Linked DNA regions of Saccharomyces cerevisiae S288C. The protein of the gene in region 2 binds, or shares a complex with, the protein of the main gene of each other region. Each region holds a gene or a part of one and is shown on either strand. Other genes may lie near its edges. A codon is read from its position in the direction of its gene.

Region 1 (4,625 bases), on a different chromosome or scaffold from region 2:
TAACCGCAAGGTACAGATCGCAGTACACAGGATTACTCGTTGCCCGAGTATTATTCTCCACCTCTACGACCCGTGCGCAAGGTGGAAACCCTCGATCACCACTCCAGATTTTCCGCGATACATTCAAGAAGGAATGGGAGAAGTCTCAGGAACTGCAGGAGAACATAAAGACGCTGCAAGATGCTTCGGGAAAGTTAGGCGAGTCTGAGGCCTACAAAAAGGCTAGGGAAGCATATTTGAAAGCTCAGAGAGGCTCCACAATTGTGGGTAAAACTCTGAAAAAGACCGGTGAGACCATGGAACATATAGCCACTAAGGCCTGGGAGTCCGAACTCGGTAAGAACACAAGAAAGGCGGCTGCCGCCACGGCGAAGAAGCTGGATGAGAGTTTTGAGCCAGTGAGACAGACGAAGATTTACAAGGAAGTCTCAGAAGTCATTGACGATGGGGAGAGTTCCCGATACGGTGGGTTTATCACGAAAGAGCAAAGGAGACTTAAACGTGAGAGAGACCTGGCCTCTGGGAAAAGACACAGGGCAGTAAAGAGCAATGAAGATGCAGGAACAGCAGTGGTTGCGACAAATATCGAGTCTAAAGAATCGTTTGGTAAGAAAGTGGAGGATTTCAAGGAGAAAACCGTGGTTGGCCGTTCTATACAATCTTTAAAGAACAAATTGTGGGATGAAAGTGAAAACCCCTTAATTGTTGTCATGAGGAAAATAACCAACAAAGTGGGCGGTTTCTTTGCAGAAACAGAATCCTCCCGTGTTTACAGTCAATTTAAGCTAATGGACCCAACCTTTTCGAACGAAAGCTTCACCAGACACTTAAGAGAATACATTGTTCCCGAGATTCTCGAAGCGTATGTGAAAGGCGATGTCAAAGTTCTCAAAAAATGGTTCAGCGAGGCGCCATTCAATGTTTACGCCGCCCAACAGAAAATCTTCAAAGAACAGGATGTTTACGCCGATGGCCGTATCCTAGATATCAGGGGCGTTGAAATAGTGAGTGCAAAGTTATTGGCTCCCCAAGACATCCCAGTCTTGGTGGTCGGGTGTAGAGCACAAGAAATCAACCTTTACAGGAAAAAGAAAACTGGCGAGATTGCGGCTGGTGACGAAGCTAATATCTTGATGAGCTCTTATGCCATGGTTTTCACCAGAGACCCAGAGCAAATCGACGATGACGAAACAGAAGGGTGGAAGATCTTGGAGTTTGTGCGCGGGGGTTCTAGACAATTCACCTGATTGGTTTCGATGTACTCTTTTGTTTTCTTTTCCTTTTCCTTCCTATTCCGCTTGTAAATAACTCCGTTATGTCTCACCTTCGATCCCCACTTTTTCTTTTGGAATACTGCATCAAATAGGAAGAGAGAAAAAAGGAAATCATATCCCAATATATTTGAACATACGACACGATATACCTTATATAGTATCATCTGTACTAATAGTACTATAACTAATACTTCTTGACGGACAAGCTTCGCAACTCGTTCGCAATGACCAAGTTTGGCTTTCGGGAAGCAAAGTGGAAAAAAATGAAAAATAAACTAATTGAAGTGGTAAAAAATAAGCTGTGTGTGTGCATATACATCGTAAGTGCGTTGGCTGTTCTGTGGAAAAGGGAGACACTTTTTATATCAGGTGCAAAGGCTTCGTACCAGCGTTGAAAAACTAAAACAATATTGAAAAATGAGTGAAGAAGGTCCTCAAGTTAAAATAAGAGAAGCTAGTAAAGATAACGTCGACTTTATACTATCCAATGTGGATTTGGCTATGGCCAATTCTCTCCGTAGAGTCATGATAGCAGAGATTCCCACTTTAGCCATTGATTCAGTCGAAGTCGAAACAAATACTACGGTTTTGGCCGATGAATTTATTGCACACAGATTAGGTTTAATACCTCTACAAAGTATGGATATCGAACAACTAGAATACAGTCGTGATTGTTTTTGTGAGGACCACTGTGATAAGTGTTCAGTGGTGTTAACATTGCAAGCGTTCGGCGAAAGCGAAAGTACTACAAACGTCTACAGCAAGGACTTGGTAATTGTGTCTAATCTCATGGGCCGTAATATTGGGCATCCTATTATACAAGATAAAGAAGGTAACGGTGTTCTTATTTGTAAATTGAGAAAAGGTCAAGAATTGAAACTGACATGCGTTGCGAAAAAGGGTATAGCCAAAGAGCACGCCAAGTGGGGTCCAGCAGCAGCCATAGAGTTCGAGTATGATCCTTGGAATAAGCTCAAACATACCGATTACTGGTATGAACAGGATTCTGCCAAAGAATGGCCTCAGTCTAAAAATTGTGAATACGAAGATCCTCCAAACGAAGGTGACCCCTTCGATTATAAGGCTCAGGCAGATACATTTTATATGAATGTAGAATCTGTGGGGTCTATTCCCGTTGATCAAGTTGTCGTCAGAGGTATCGATACATTACAGAAAAAGGTTGCCTCAATATTGTTAGCTCTGACACAGATGGATCAAGACAAAGTTAATTTTGCATCGGGTGATAACAACACCGCTTCAAATATGCTGGGAAGTAACGAAGACGTAATGATGACGGGCGCTGAGCAAGATCCTTACTCCAATGCATCTCAAATGGGTAATACTGGATCAGGAGGGTATGATAATGCTTGGTAGTTCTCAAGTGGGCGTAATAGAGGAAAAAAAACAAGTGAACGAACCGAAAATAATAAGAGAAAAAAAGCTTTATATGCATGTATGTATCATTATGATTAGTATTATAAGTATTATAATCTAAAGTACGAAGCAAACAAAAAAGAAAAAAGAAAATGAAAAAATGAAAGGAAGGGCTAACCTTGCTTTTCATTCCATCTACAGCAGTCTTCAAACTTAACTAGGTTACCACCAAATATATCTAAGGAACTACCGAATGTCAAATCTACTTTTCCGTGACTTAGTTCGTCTACTAATTTCAAATCATCAACACTTTTGGCCCCACCAGCATAAACGATTTTCAAATCATCGTAATCTTTGGTCCATTCGAAAAGCTTAGAAACCAATAATTCATCGATACCACCACACAAACCTTCAACGTCTGCAGCGTGAATTAGAAACTCATTTGTATATTTCCTCAATTCTCTGAAAGTGTCAGCATTAAGCTCAAGATCAGTTAGAGTTTGCCATTTGTTCATGGCCACAATCCAACGACCGTCCTGGGTTTTTCTACAGCTTAAGTCTACAACAATGCGGTCTTTCCCACATAGTTCTGTCAGTCTTTCTAACCTTTTTAATTGAAAATGACCCTCTTTTGTAAATAGCCAACTCGTAACAATTACTTTACTGGCCCATTTTAACCATTCCAAACAGTTCGTATCATTAATTCCTCCGCCCACTTGTAGAAATTGTGGTGACTCCTGGAGTGCCTCGCGTGCAGCGTCGTCATTGTTAGGTCCCAACTTAATAACATGACATCCTTGGACATCTCTGTCTTTGTAAAGTTTAGCGTAATATGAAGAAGGATGTTGTGATACAAAGTTAGTTTTTGGAACGTCCTCCTTTTTGCTCGTTAACGTTCCACCTACAATCTGTTTAACCTCTCCATTATGCAGGTCTATACAACCAATAAACTTCGTCATTTTTTTCTAGTATATACCCCCAGCCTTCTTATGCGCAGTTTCGAAGATATTGTGAATTTGCAGGCGAGGATTCTCAAATTATTCCGTATGACTCTGCACACTAGACATGGCTCAATCTTGGCAATGGACCCTGTGCTGAATTTTCGTCATTCGTCTCATGCGACCGTTCCGTTCCTAGAAAAATTTTGAGCGATGAGATGAGTATACATTAACGATGGCAGGAACAGTTATAACAATATTGAGAGTACAAATGACCCAAAAGCCATAAAAAGATGACCCTTGATGATGACGACTATATAAAACAAATGGAGCTTCAAAGAAAAGCTTTTGAAAGTCAGTTCGGATCTTTAGAGTCCATGGGGTTCGAAGATAAAACAAAAAATATACGAACTGAAGTAGATACCAGAGACAGTTCAGGTGATGAAATTGACAATTCCGATCATGGTAGTGATTTCAAGGATGGTACTATAGAAAGTTCTAATTCTTCTGATGAAGATAGCGGTAACGAAACCGCGGAAGAAAATAATCAAGATTCCAAACCGAAAACTCAACCAAAGGTCATTAGATTCAACGGGCCTAGTGACGTTTATGTTCCTCCAAGTAAGAAGACACAGAAACTTTTGAGAAGCGGCAAAACTTTAACTCAAATAAACAAAAAATTGGAGAGTACTGAAGCCAAGGAAGAAAAAGAAGATGAGACTTTGGAGGCGGAAAATTTACAAAACGACCTGGAGTTGCAGCAATTTCTGAGAGAGTCTCACTTATTGAGCGCTTTCAATAACGGTGGAAGTGGTTCTACAAACAGTGGTGTATCGTTGACTCTACAGAGTATGGGTGGTGGAAATGATGATGGCATAGTATACCAGGATGATCAAGTTATTGGGAAGGCCAGATCGCGTACACTCGAAATGAGACTGAATAGACTCTCAAGGGTGAATGGTCATCAGGACAAAATAAATAAGCTGGAAAAAGTACCCATGCATATTAGAAGAGGAATGATCGACAAGCACGTCAAGAG
Region 2 (5,248 bases):
ACTGCTATTGGCAGGTCTGAATATCTCTACTTTTTCCAACTAACATTGCTATTGATAATATTTACCTTGGTGGTAGACTGTGGTGTATCTCCCCCCGGCTCTGGGTCATATCCATACTTCGTGGCTATACAAATAGGACTGGCGGGTGCATGTTGCTGGGCCTTATTGATAATCGGGTTTTTAGGTTTCAATTTATGGGAAGATGGGACTACAAAGTCCATGCTGTTGGTCCGTGGAACGTCCATGCTAGGATTCATAGCCAATTTTTTAGCCTCTATTTTAACCTTCAAAGCATGGATCACCGACCATAAAGTAGCAACAATGAACGCTTCAGGGATGATTGTCGTCGTTTACATAATAAACGCCATTTTCTTATTCGTTTTCGTTATTTGTCAATTACTGGTATCCCTATTGGTAGTTCGAAACTTATGGGTCACAGGAGCTATCTTTTTGGGGCTATTTTTCTTTGTAGCAGGCCAGGTATTGGTTTATGCCTTCTCTACACAAATTTGTGAAGGGTTCAAGCACTACTTAGATGGCCTCTTTTTTGGAAGCATCTGTAATGTGTTCACATTAATGATGGTTTACAAGACTTGGGATATGACTACCGACGACGACTTGGAATTTGGTGTAAGTGTTAGCAAGGACGGTGACGTGGTGTATGATAATGGATTTATGTGAAATGCTTCTTTTTTCTATTACCATATATAGAAAATAGGTGTATACTATTAGTTTAATGTAATAAGCAGGACTATGACAAACCAAAGAGTGAAAGTAGCCGTTTCCACGTTTTAACGGCTTGTGTACACTTTGACAGTCAATCAGCGTAGTGACTTCTTTTATCAGCGGAAACAACCATATCCATAAAAGAAACGTGATGGTCGTTCCCGTAGTTTATTAAGTAAGATGACAAATTATCCTTCTTTAGTCAATTGAAAACAAAACTTCTTAATCTGTTTCCAATGTTTTAAAGTCGCTCATATGTTCATGACTACTTTTCCATGAGAGGGTTCTACGAAAAGCATCATCTTATTTTCGCAACGCTGCGGGTTTAGGCCTTTCCGCTGGTCTCTTTTCTGTTTACAGTTCTGCCCGAATGTAAACAAATACTTTGCGAAAAGTAAATAATGTATTCTGAAAAAAAAAAAGAGAACTGTGAACAATGCTTGATAGTTGTAGGAATATCTTAGAAGAAAGGGGATAGATTATCTGGAAAATCGTTTGAATAAAATAAGAACCAGTAATTCATTCGTTTAAATTGGAAAAACAAAACATAAAAGAACCAGCAATGTCTTGGTTGCCTGTTAATGTAAAAAGTTCTCCCAAAAGATGACAGGAAACTCGTTAACTCATACTCGGTATATAAGAGGAAACTTATCTAATGTTTCATTCATTCTTCCTCTTCTGCTTATTCGATGTCTATTGAAAAACTTCAAGTAAACCAGCAATATCGACTTCCATTAAGTAGACAGCGAGCCTGAAACAAAGAATATACTGTTTCAATTCCAACTAAAGCCACTCCCTCAAGCGTTATTATTTTTTGAATTATATTTTCGGGTTTTAAGCTAACTCTAGTCATTCCTTACTACATTTTATTGTAACTCTTCAGTAGAGCTAACCACAGTCATTCCTTAATATTTTTTAACACAGATCTCTTTCACAGAGTAGAAATAAAGCCACTCCTTTAACAAATTACAAAGAAATGAAATTTAATTTTTCTACAATTTTCAATATCTTATTCTTTTTATTCACCTTAATTGAAGCCAACAGCAATGGGGAAACAGTCAAACTTATTACTTCTGATGGTATTGTTTACAGTTATGCTGTCTACACAAAGACTCTTGCGCCGGCAAGGGTTGTGGTTAAAACGATTTCATATACTACTACAAGGGTATATCCGATTACTTTAGCTAATTCCGTCGTTTCTTCCACTACTGAAAAGATAACAGAGGTTTCAACGGTGTCAGCTTCAGAACAAGTTAGTGCTACTCAAACAAACTCATTGGTTTCTACTTCTACTGTTTCCACTATCAGTCCAACGATTTCATCTGGTTCTTCAACATCCTCTAGCTCTACATACGATATCGAATCATCTCAAAGTATCGAATCGTCAGGTACATCTTCCGCTACAGCCGAACCATCTGCGTCTTCAGGTTTTCGTTTGACTTCTAGTTCTGCTTTTGTTTCATCTACTGCACCTTTCTCTTCCCAACTTTCTTCATCTTCATCTTCTGAAACATCATCCTCATCATTTTCAACATCATCATCATCTGCCCCTCTTTCCTTAACTTCTTCTTCTTCTTCTTCTTCTTCTTTCGCCACTATTATTACCTTGGCACCATCGAGCTCAAAAAGCGGAAACTCTCAACTAACTTTGGCGTCATCGTCTTCCACTTCCGCAGTTGAGTCATCCCAAACAGGGTCCACTATAGCAAGAACTACCTCTACACTGGTACCCTCTTCTAGCGTAGATACAACGTCTAGAGCAACGACATCCATGCCATTAGAATCGTCTTCTACGCAATCGATATCCGTCTCCAGCTCGGATGGCACTTGTTACGTTTTTTATGATGATGATGACTACTATAGTACTGTCTACTTAACTAACCCGTCTCAATCCGTTGATGCCGCCACCACTATAACTAGTACAAACACAATTTATGCTACGGTTACCATTTAGCGCTTAGGCATAATGGTGGTGCATTCTTTTCTATTTGTTTTCTCAGGCGTATTTTTTCCATTATTTTTTGTTAAAAATAGTAAAAAGACAGTATTATTTATTCATTTTTCCTCGTGTTGTTATAACGACTAAGTTTCCTAATTTCTTTATTTTGTTTTTTTCTCATGATCTTTTCATTTTGTAGTTTCAACTATTATATACAATGTGTATACTATAACTTAATTTTATTAGTTACCTCTTACTAAGGATACTGATTCTTCCCCACTCATTTCATGAATTCATCACAAGTCTTTAGTATTTTTCATATGGAAATTACATCACCTATATATATCAAAATGTTCCGGCGAGTACATTGTCAGAATCTACAGTTTTTCCTGATATGAGCAGTGATATGGAGAAAGAGACACTAAATAAGAACAAAATATTGCCGTAGATTTAATGATTCAATCATGTGTGTCAAATTTGTTCTCCATTGCATCTTCCTATTTGACATTTGTCTCATGACCACGACATTGTACATTACCAGGTAAGGCTACAATTAGCCTCACCGATGTAACGTTATATAACGCTGCGGTCGTAGAATATGATTTTTCTGAATTTTAATTTTTTTTTTTTTTTTTTTCATTTCTTTAACATCTAAAATAGATTTTAGAATCAGAAAAGTGAAGAGTATTCCACATCATCGACTTATTCTACCAACATTTAATAAGAACGTACCCAAGAATAAAAGTCCACAAGTATAACAATGTCTCGCGAAGGGTTCCAGATTCCAACAAATTTAGACGCCGCAGCTGCAGGTACTTCTCAAGCTAGAACGGCAACTTTGAAGTATATTTGTGCTGAATGTTCTAGTAAATTATCTTTATCCAGAACTGATGCAGTCCGTTGTAAGGACTGTGGTCATAGAATCCTGTTGAAGGCTAGGACTAAGAGATTGGTTCAATTTGAAGCTAGATGAATGGAGAGACTGAAAACCATAATGGGTTACCGGGGCAGAATAATACGAAATAAAGAACCTAGGTTTTCCAAGGTTTTTGCAATATATAAACTTGTGCTTGATTTAAGTTTATGCAGCACTTTTCTTCCAGCAAATTCTTTATGTTTTTTTAAGGGAAAACGTATATCACTTAGAGATTATATTAATGAAAAAAGGTGTATACAAATGTATAATAATAATAGTATATAAGAAAAGTATTCGCTATTTATAGTGATTTTAGTTTGTACAATGTACTGTATTTTTTTTAAATGTAGTATTTTATATATATGTTACATTAGTTCGAACTGAAAAGGAACTTATGAATTAAATCATCACAATTCTTGGTTCTTCCGTAAAGCTGAATTGCCGGACGGTTATTCCCGCATTCTTCAAGACCTTGAAACTTTCCTCGTCCATTCTATAACTTTGGCTATAAACTACTTCACTGATGCCTGTTTGAACAATCTTTACAGAACATGTTAAGCAAGGGCAAGTATCACAGTATAAGGTCGCATTTTGACCTACACGATCCCTGCCAGCTTCCAGTAGTGCATTCTCTTCTGCATGTAAGCATAAGCAAGTGTGCAGATTTCTAGAATCACCGTCATTGCAACGTGGGCAACCGCCATTGAAACAATTTGTTAAATGTCGAGGAGTCCCATTATAGCCAGTAGCAATCACTCTGCATTCTCTCACAATCACGCAACCAACTCTACGTTTCATGCAATTGGAACGAGATGCTGCTAGTGTGGCTAACTTCATAAAATAGCTATCCCAACTAGGCCTCATTAATGGAGCCATTTGTTTCTCTTTGTCATCGAGAATCTTTAATTGTGTGGTAATGTTATTAATCAAGCTCTGTCTCCTTCCTCTGCGGTCCTCATTAACTATTTTAAATCTCAAATGGGATTTCTCCCTTAATTTGATGCCTTCAGGCTGAAAGTCATGTTGATCAATGGCTTGTATTATTTGTTCTAATGATAAGCTTTCTGCTTGAGTCGTTTTCCTGTATAATGCTACCCTTGTAGTGACAGGAGCGTCGATAGAAAGATGAACAAAAAATGGTCTCTTTTCCAGTTTCTCCAGTAATGATAATTTTTCTAGGAATATAACTGAATTTTTTGTGTAATTTTTCGTAGCATAATCTAATATCTCCTCTGGATTATCTAGGTGATTGAGTAATTCAAAATGAAAATGATCAACCAACATGTTAATAACATCTTCGCATCCGCAAAATTTCGTACCACTTACACCAATTAACATAATCGTGTTATATTGATTAGTGTAGCATTCACACCTTTAATGTGCCAAAAAAAGATGTTGAATTCTATGGTAATGCAGAAGTTTCAATTCTCGAGATTGCCTACATCATCTCATAACTGCGTACCGCGCGTTCTTGCAAAGAACAAAAAAGTGAAAAAATTATAATGGGGCGAGCTGGGAATTGAACCCAGGGCCTCTCGCATGCTTTGTCTTCCTGTTTAGGCAGGAAGTCGCCCAAAGCGAGAATCATACCACTAGACCACACGCCCATGTATCTGTTGGTGTTCTAAATAAAGAATTAAACTATGTAGGCATAAAAAGAGACGGGA
Region 3 (5,209 bases), on a different chromosome or scaffold from region 2:
TCTTTAAAATTTGATAATTAATGGCACGCTTACCATCACCTGAGACATTTTCAGCCAATTCCGCCAATTTTCCTTCCCTTGCAGCAATAACAGCATTCTTATGAGCCTCTTTACGAGATATTTTCTTGTCTTGTTTACCTCTCTGAACCTGTTGATAATAATCGTTCTCGCCTTGAGTGTTGATGCTCCTAGACACAGCTTCATCTTCAGAACCGTAATCCTTATCGTCTAGGTCAGCACCATTATTATCATGCATACCACGTTTACGAGCTTCATCCAACAGACGTTGCTGCCTTTCAAATAAACGTTCCTTATATGGAATATCATCATCACCTTTGAATCTATCCGTCTTTTTATTTTCTTGTTGATCAATTTTCGAAGTATAGAAACGCAAAGTTCTTCTACGAGCTTTTTTGTCTTGTGCGTCCACATCAGCAATCTCAGATTCAATGAAATCATCAGCTTCAGGCATTGATGATGTTTTCGGTTTAGAATGCAGACGTGATTGTGCTACGTACTCTTCAAAATCGTCAATATCAACATCTTCTTCTTCTTCTTCTTCATCGCTTTCTCTTTCTTCTTCATCAATTTCTTGCTTTTGTTTTCCTCCATCCTCTGCATCAGAATCTTCACTGTTTTGCAACTCATTCAGCTTCTTTTCGTTAAAGGCCTCAATGTTTGCGGTTTCTTCACTTTCAGAACCATCTCCTTCATTCACATCAAAACTAGATGGCAATTCGCTGGCTTGCCTCCAAATCTCTTTTGTCGTTAAAATCTTTTCCATGACCGGATGTCCCTTCATAGATGTGAAATCTTCATTATTATGGAGTTCGTGCAACAAGATACTATAGTAACATGATATTGTGCCTAGGTAACTTCCAAGTGCAATTAGCTTTAATTTATTGAACTCATTTTCCTCAGATTTCTTTAATTCGTCAAACTTTGGAGCTAATTCTGTGAATTCTTTTGAAAGTGGAGCAAATTCAGGAAACATTGTCCTTAAATAGTTATCCCTTGCTTCGTCATCCATATTTAGAATATCCGTTATGGAAGTTTTAGTATCAGCCTGCTTGGTCGAGTTCTTAAATTCACCCATGTCAAATTCTTTGGCACTTTTGACCCACTCTTCTTCTTCTTCTTCATCTAAGTAATCGTTCATATTAAGTTCTTCCAGATGCTTCTTTTGTTGTCGTAAAGCTTCCTTTTCTATTTCCTTAGCAGCTTCGTCATCATCTAAATCATCAGCCCCATAATATTCTCCTTTTGTGGACCCCCAGGCATTCTCGTTGTCTAACATACCATTCTCTTCATCTTCCTCAGGAAGCTGGTCAGTTTCTAAGTTTCTACCAAATATTTTCTTATAGGCTGCAGCACCATCTAGTTCCTCTTCCTCTTCTTCTTCCTCATCTTCTCTTTCATCTATTGACTCATCATCTTCATCCATGGCTAAGACTTCTTCCTCATCTTCGTCTTCTAACAGAGAATGGTCATCATCTTTATTACTGTCGCCAAAGGTGGATTGTCCAAGTAAAACCTTTTCCCTTTTAGAAGCAAAATCATCAACTTCGTTTAAACCATACGGATTAATCTCATCCCCAACTTCAGAGGTCTTAGTTCTGTTTGAGCCTTTGCGTACCATATTATTCTATACACCCACTCTAATATGTTTTCTCTTCCTCCAAAACTTTTTGTATAAAAGCATCAGTGAGATGAGCTATGATGAGATGAGCTTCATTATTGAATTTTTTTTCATTGCAGAAGCGCAGTTTGAAAATTTTTCATCCGCCCTGCAAAGTCCAATTTTTTGATCAGCAGAAGATAATGACCAGAGAATTATGGTATTCAAGAGAACAATTCAAAAGAGGACAGCTAGAAAGATATTGAGGTATTTATAATTTGCTAGACTAACCGAAAGTCGAAGCGTAATCTTGTTTTTTATTAAGCGGGATAGCATTCATTAAGTATGAGCAGTAATAAAGGAAATGGGCGCTTGCCATCATTAAAAGATTCCTCCTCCAATGGAGGAGGATCTGCCAAGCCCTCATTAAAGTTTAAACCAAAAGCAGTTGCAAGAAAGTCCAAGGAAGAAAGAGAAGCAGCTGCGTCCAAAGTAAAGCTAGAGGAGGAATCTAAGAGAGGTAATGACAAGAAACATTTCAATAACAAGAATAAAAGAGTAACCGGCGCTGGCGGCCAGCAAAGGCGAATGGCCAAATACTTAAATAACACACACGTTATCTCTAGCGGTCCATTGGCGGCTGGGAACTTTGTAAGTGAGAAGGGTGATTTGAGAAGAGGATTCATCAAATCAGAAGGAAGCGGGTCATCTCTTGTGCAAAAGGGCCTGGAAACTATTGACAATGGTGCTGAGAGCTCTGAGAATGAGGCAGAAGACGATGATAATGAAGGTGTAGCGTCCAAATCTAAGAAGAAGTTCAATATGGGAAAAGAATTCGAGGCACGCAATCTCATAGAGGACGAAGATGACGGCGAAAGTGAAAAGAGCAGTGACGTCGACATGGATGACGAAGAATGGAGATCTAAACGGATTGAACAGTTATTCCCTGTGAGACCTGTCCGCGTAAGACACGAAGACGTTGAAACTGTCAAAAGAGAAATACAAGAAGCTCTTTCAGAAAAGCCAACTCGTGAACCAACCCCCAGTGTGAAGACAGAGCCTGTCGGAACCGGATTACAATCTTATTTGGAAGAAAGAGAAAGGCAAGTCAATGAGAAACTGGCAGATCTTGGACTTGAAAAGGAGTTTCAATCGGTTGATGGGAAAGAAGCGGCCGCTGAGTTGGAATTATTAAATGCAGATCATCAGCATATATTACGAAAACTAAAGAAAATGAATAATAAACCAGAAAGATTCATGGTATTCCAGTTACCTACTAGGTTACCAGCTTTTGAAAGACCCGCTGTGAAAGAAGAAAAAGAAGACATGGAAACCCAGGCTAGCGACCCTTCAAAGAAGAAGAAGAATATTAAAAAGAAGGACACGAAGGATGCTTTGTCTACTAGAGAACTTGCCGGCAAGGTTGGGTCTATACGGGTTCACAAATCTGGAAAACTTTCCGTGAAAATTGGAAATGTGGTGATGGATATTGGCAAAGGTGCCGAAACCACATTTTTACAAGATGTTATAGCATTAAGTATCGCTGATGATGCATCCTCAGCGGAACTTCTAGGCCGTGTGGACGGTAAAATAGTAGTCACACCTCAAATCTAATCGCACTCGCATCTGTCGAGTATATAAATGAATATACACAGTCATAAATACTTCTAGAACAAATTACACTAATTAAGATGCTTAGATTCCCATTCAAAAGGTACTATTGACGTCTTGTCTTCTACAATTTCTCATCCTCTTTGAACATTGGTAATGTTATTCTAGTTATTGTTACCCAGTTTCGGAACTTTAGGGGAGCCACACTTTAAACAAAAAGAAGCGCCATAACCACCGTGAAGTAATGAGTATCTCACTTTGATAAGAAGACATTTAAGAACAGCCTGAAATATCAAAATCACGGAATTATTAGGTTATGGAGAGAGATGAATACCAGTTACCCAACTCTCATGGGAAGAATACTTTCTTATCGCGAATATTTGGTTTACAATCGGATGAAGTTAATCCTTCTCTTAATAGCCAGGAGATGAGCAACTTCCCTTTACCAGACATAGAGAGAGGCTCATCTTTATTGCATTCTACTAACGACAGCCGCGAAGATGTAGATGAGAATGACTTACGTGTTCCTGAGTCTGACCAAGGCACTAGTACAGAAGAAGAGGATGAAGTAGATGAAGAGCAAGTCCAGGCGTATGCTCCACAGATTAGTGATGGATTGGATGGAGACCACCAGCTAAATTCTGTAACGAGCAAAGAAAATGTACTTGAAACGGAAAAAAGCAATTTAGAAAGACTGGTTGAAGGCTCTACCGATGATTCTGTGCCCAAAGTCGGACAGCTTTCGTCAGAAGAAGAAGAGGATAATGAGTTCATAAATAATGATGGATTTGATGACGATACGCCCCTTTTTCAAAAAAGCAAGATTCATGAATTTAGCTCTAAGAAAAGCAATACTATAGAGGACGGTAAACGACCTTTGTTTTTCAGGCATATCTTACAGAATAACCGCCCTCAACGTGATACCCAAAAGCTATTTACTTCGTCGAACGCCATTCACCATGATAAGGACAAGAGTGCAAATAATGGTCCCCGTAACATTAATGGTAATCAAAAGCATGGCACTAAATACTTTGGTAGTGCTACACAACCTCGGTTTACCGGTTCGCCCTTAAATAATACAAACAGGTTCACTAAATTGTTTCCATTAAGAAAGCCAAATTTACTGAGCAATATATCCGTTTTAAACAATACCCCGGAAGATAGAATCAATACGTTGAGCGTGAAAGAGCGGGCTCTGTGGAAATGGGCAAACGTAGAAAACCTCGATATATTTCTTCAAGATGTTTACAATTATTATCTGGGAAATGGGTTCTATTGCATCATACTGGAAAAAATATTGAATATATGCACTTTGCTTTTTGTTGTTTTTGTTTCTACATATATGGGTCACTGTGTTGACTACTCCAAATTACCGACTAGTCACCGGGTTTCGGATATTATTATCGACAAGTGTTATTCTAATAGTATAACGGGGTTCACAAAGTTTTTCCTTTGGATGTTTTATTTCTTCGTGATTCTCAAAATTGTTCAACTCTACTTTGATGTTCAAAAATTATCAGAATTACAAAACTTTTACAAGTATCTTTTAAATATATCGGATGACGAACTTCAAACTTTGCCCTGGCAAAATGTGATACAGCAGCTAATGTACTTGAAGGATCAAAACGCTATGACGGCAAATGTTGTGGAAGTCAAAGCCAAGAATAGAATCGACGCGCATGACGTTGCCAATAGAATCATGAGAAGAGAAAACTATCTCATAGCACTTTACAATAGCGACATCCTGAATTTATCCTTGCCTATTCCATTATTTAGGACCAACGTTCTGACAAAAACACTAGAATGGAATATTAATTTATGCGTCATGGGCTTTGTGTTCAACGAGTCCGGATTTATTAAACAAAGTATTTTAAAACCTTCTCAAAGAGAATTCACGAGAGAAGAATTACAAAAAAGATTCATGCTGGCAGGATTTCTTAATATTATATTGGCACCATTTCTGGTCACATACTTTGTTTT

Evidence for each region.
Region 1: the proteins of RPC10 (region 2) and RPB3 are in contact, whole or in part, in a crystal structure (PDB 3QT1), measured with the Saccharomyces cerevisiae proteins. Residues at the interface, in NP_012013.1 of Saccharomyces cerevisiae: Arg60 (codon at 3,603), Leu64 (codon at 3,615), Val65 (codon at 3,618), Gln66 (codon at 3,621), Phe67 (codon at 3,624), Glu68 (codon at 3,627), Ala69 (codon at 3,630), Arg70 (codon at 3,633); in NP_012243.3 of Saccharomyces cerevisiae: Ile46 (codon at 1,827), Asp47 (codon at 1,830), Ser48 (codon at 1,833), Val49 (codon at 1,836), Glu50 (codon at 1,839), Val51 (codon at 1,842), Glu52 (codon at 1,845), Asn54 (codon at 1,851), Asp60 (codon at 1,869), Glu61 (codon at 1,872), Ala64 (codon at 1,881), His65 (codon at 1,884), Gly68 (codon at 1,893), Glu166 (codon at 2,187), His167 (codon at 2,190), Lys169 (codon at 2,196), Trp170 (codon at 2,199).
Region 3: RPC10 (region 2) and RPC53 share a complex: the UniProt entries of both Saccharomyces cerevisiae proteins name them as parts of the RNA polymerase III (Pol III) complex.

Annotation. Positions count from the first base shown.
Region 1 is NC_001141.2:311,214-315,838, forward strand, and holds RPB3 (DNA-directed RNA polymerase II core subunit RPB3), read left to right. Parts: upstream 1-1,691; coding exon 1,692-2,648; downstream 2,649-4,625. Other genes in the region: protein translocase subunit TIM44, read left to right, coding at 1-1,247; 1-(5-phosphoribosyl)-5- ((5-phosphoribosylamino)methylideneamino)imidazole-4-carboxamide isomerase HIS6, read right to left, coding at 2,822-3,607; FAF1 (Faf1p), read left to right, coding at 3,880-4,625. UniProt on the Saccharomyces cerevisiae protein: DNA-dependent RNA polymerase catalyzes the transcription of DNA into RNA using the four ribonucleoside triphosphates as substrates. Component of RNA polymerase II which synthesizes mRNA precursors and many functional non-coding RNAs.
Region 2 is NC_001140.6:383,808-389,055, forward strand, and holds RPC10 (DNA-directed RNA polymerase core subunit RPC10), read left to right. Parts: upstream 1-3,425; coding exon 3,426-3,638; downstream 3,639-5,248. Other genes in the region: CHS7 (Chs7p), read left to right, coding at 1-681; DSE2 (Dse2p), read left to right, coding at 1,703-2,680; DCD1 (deoxycytidine monophosphate deaminase), read right to left, coding at 3,981-4,919. UniProt on the Saccharomyces cerevisiae protein: DNA-dependent RNA polymerases catalyze the transcription of DNA into RNA using the four ribonucleoside triphosphates as substrates.
Region 3 is NC_001136.10:181,380-186,588, forward strand, and holds RPC53 (DNA-directed RNA polymerase III subunit C53), read left to right. Parts: upstream 1-1,963; coding exon 1,964-3,232; downstream 3,233-5,209. Other genes in the region: rRNA-processing protein SAS10, read right to left, coding at 1-1,639; autophagy protein ATG9, read left to right, coding at 3,546-5,209. UniProt on the Saccharomyces cerevisiae protein: DNA-dependent RNA polymerase catalyzes the transcription of DNA into RNA using the four ribonucleoside triphosphates as substrates. Specific peripheric component of RNA polymerase III which synthesizes small RNAs, such as 5S rRNA and tRNAs.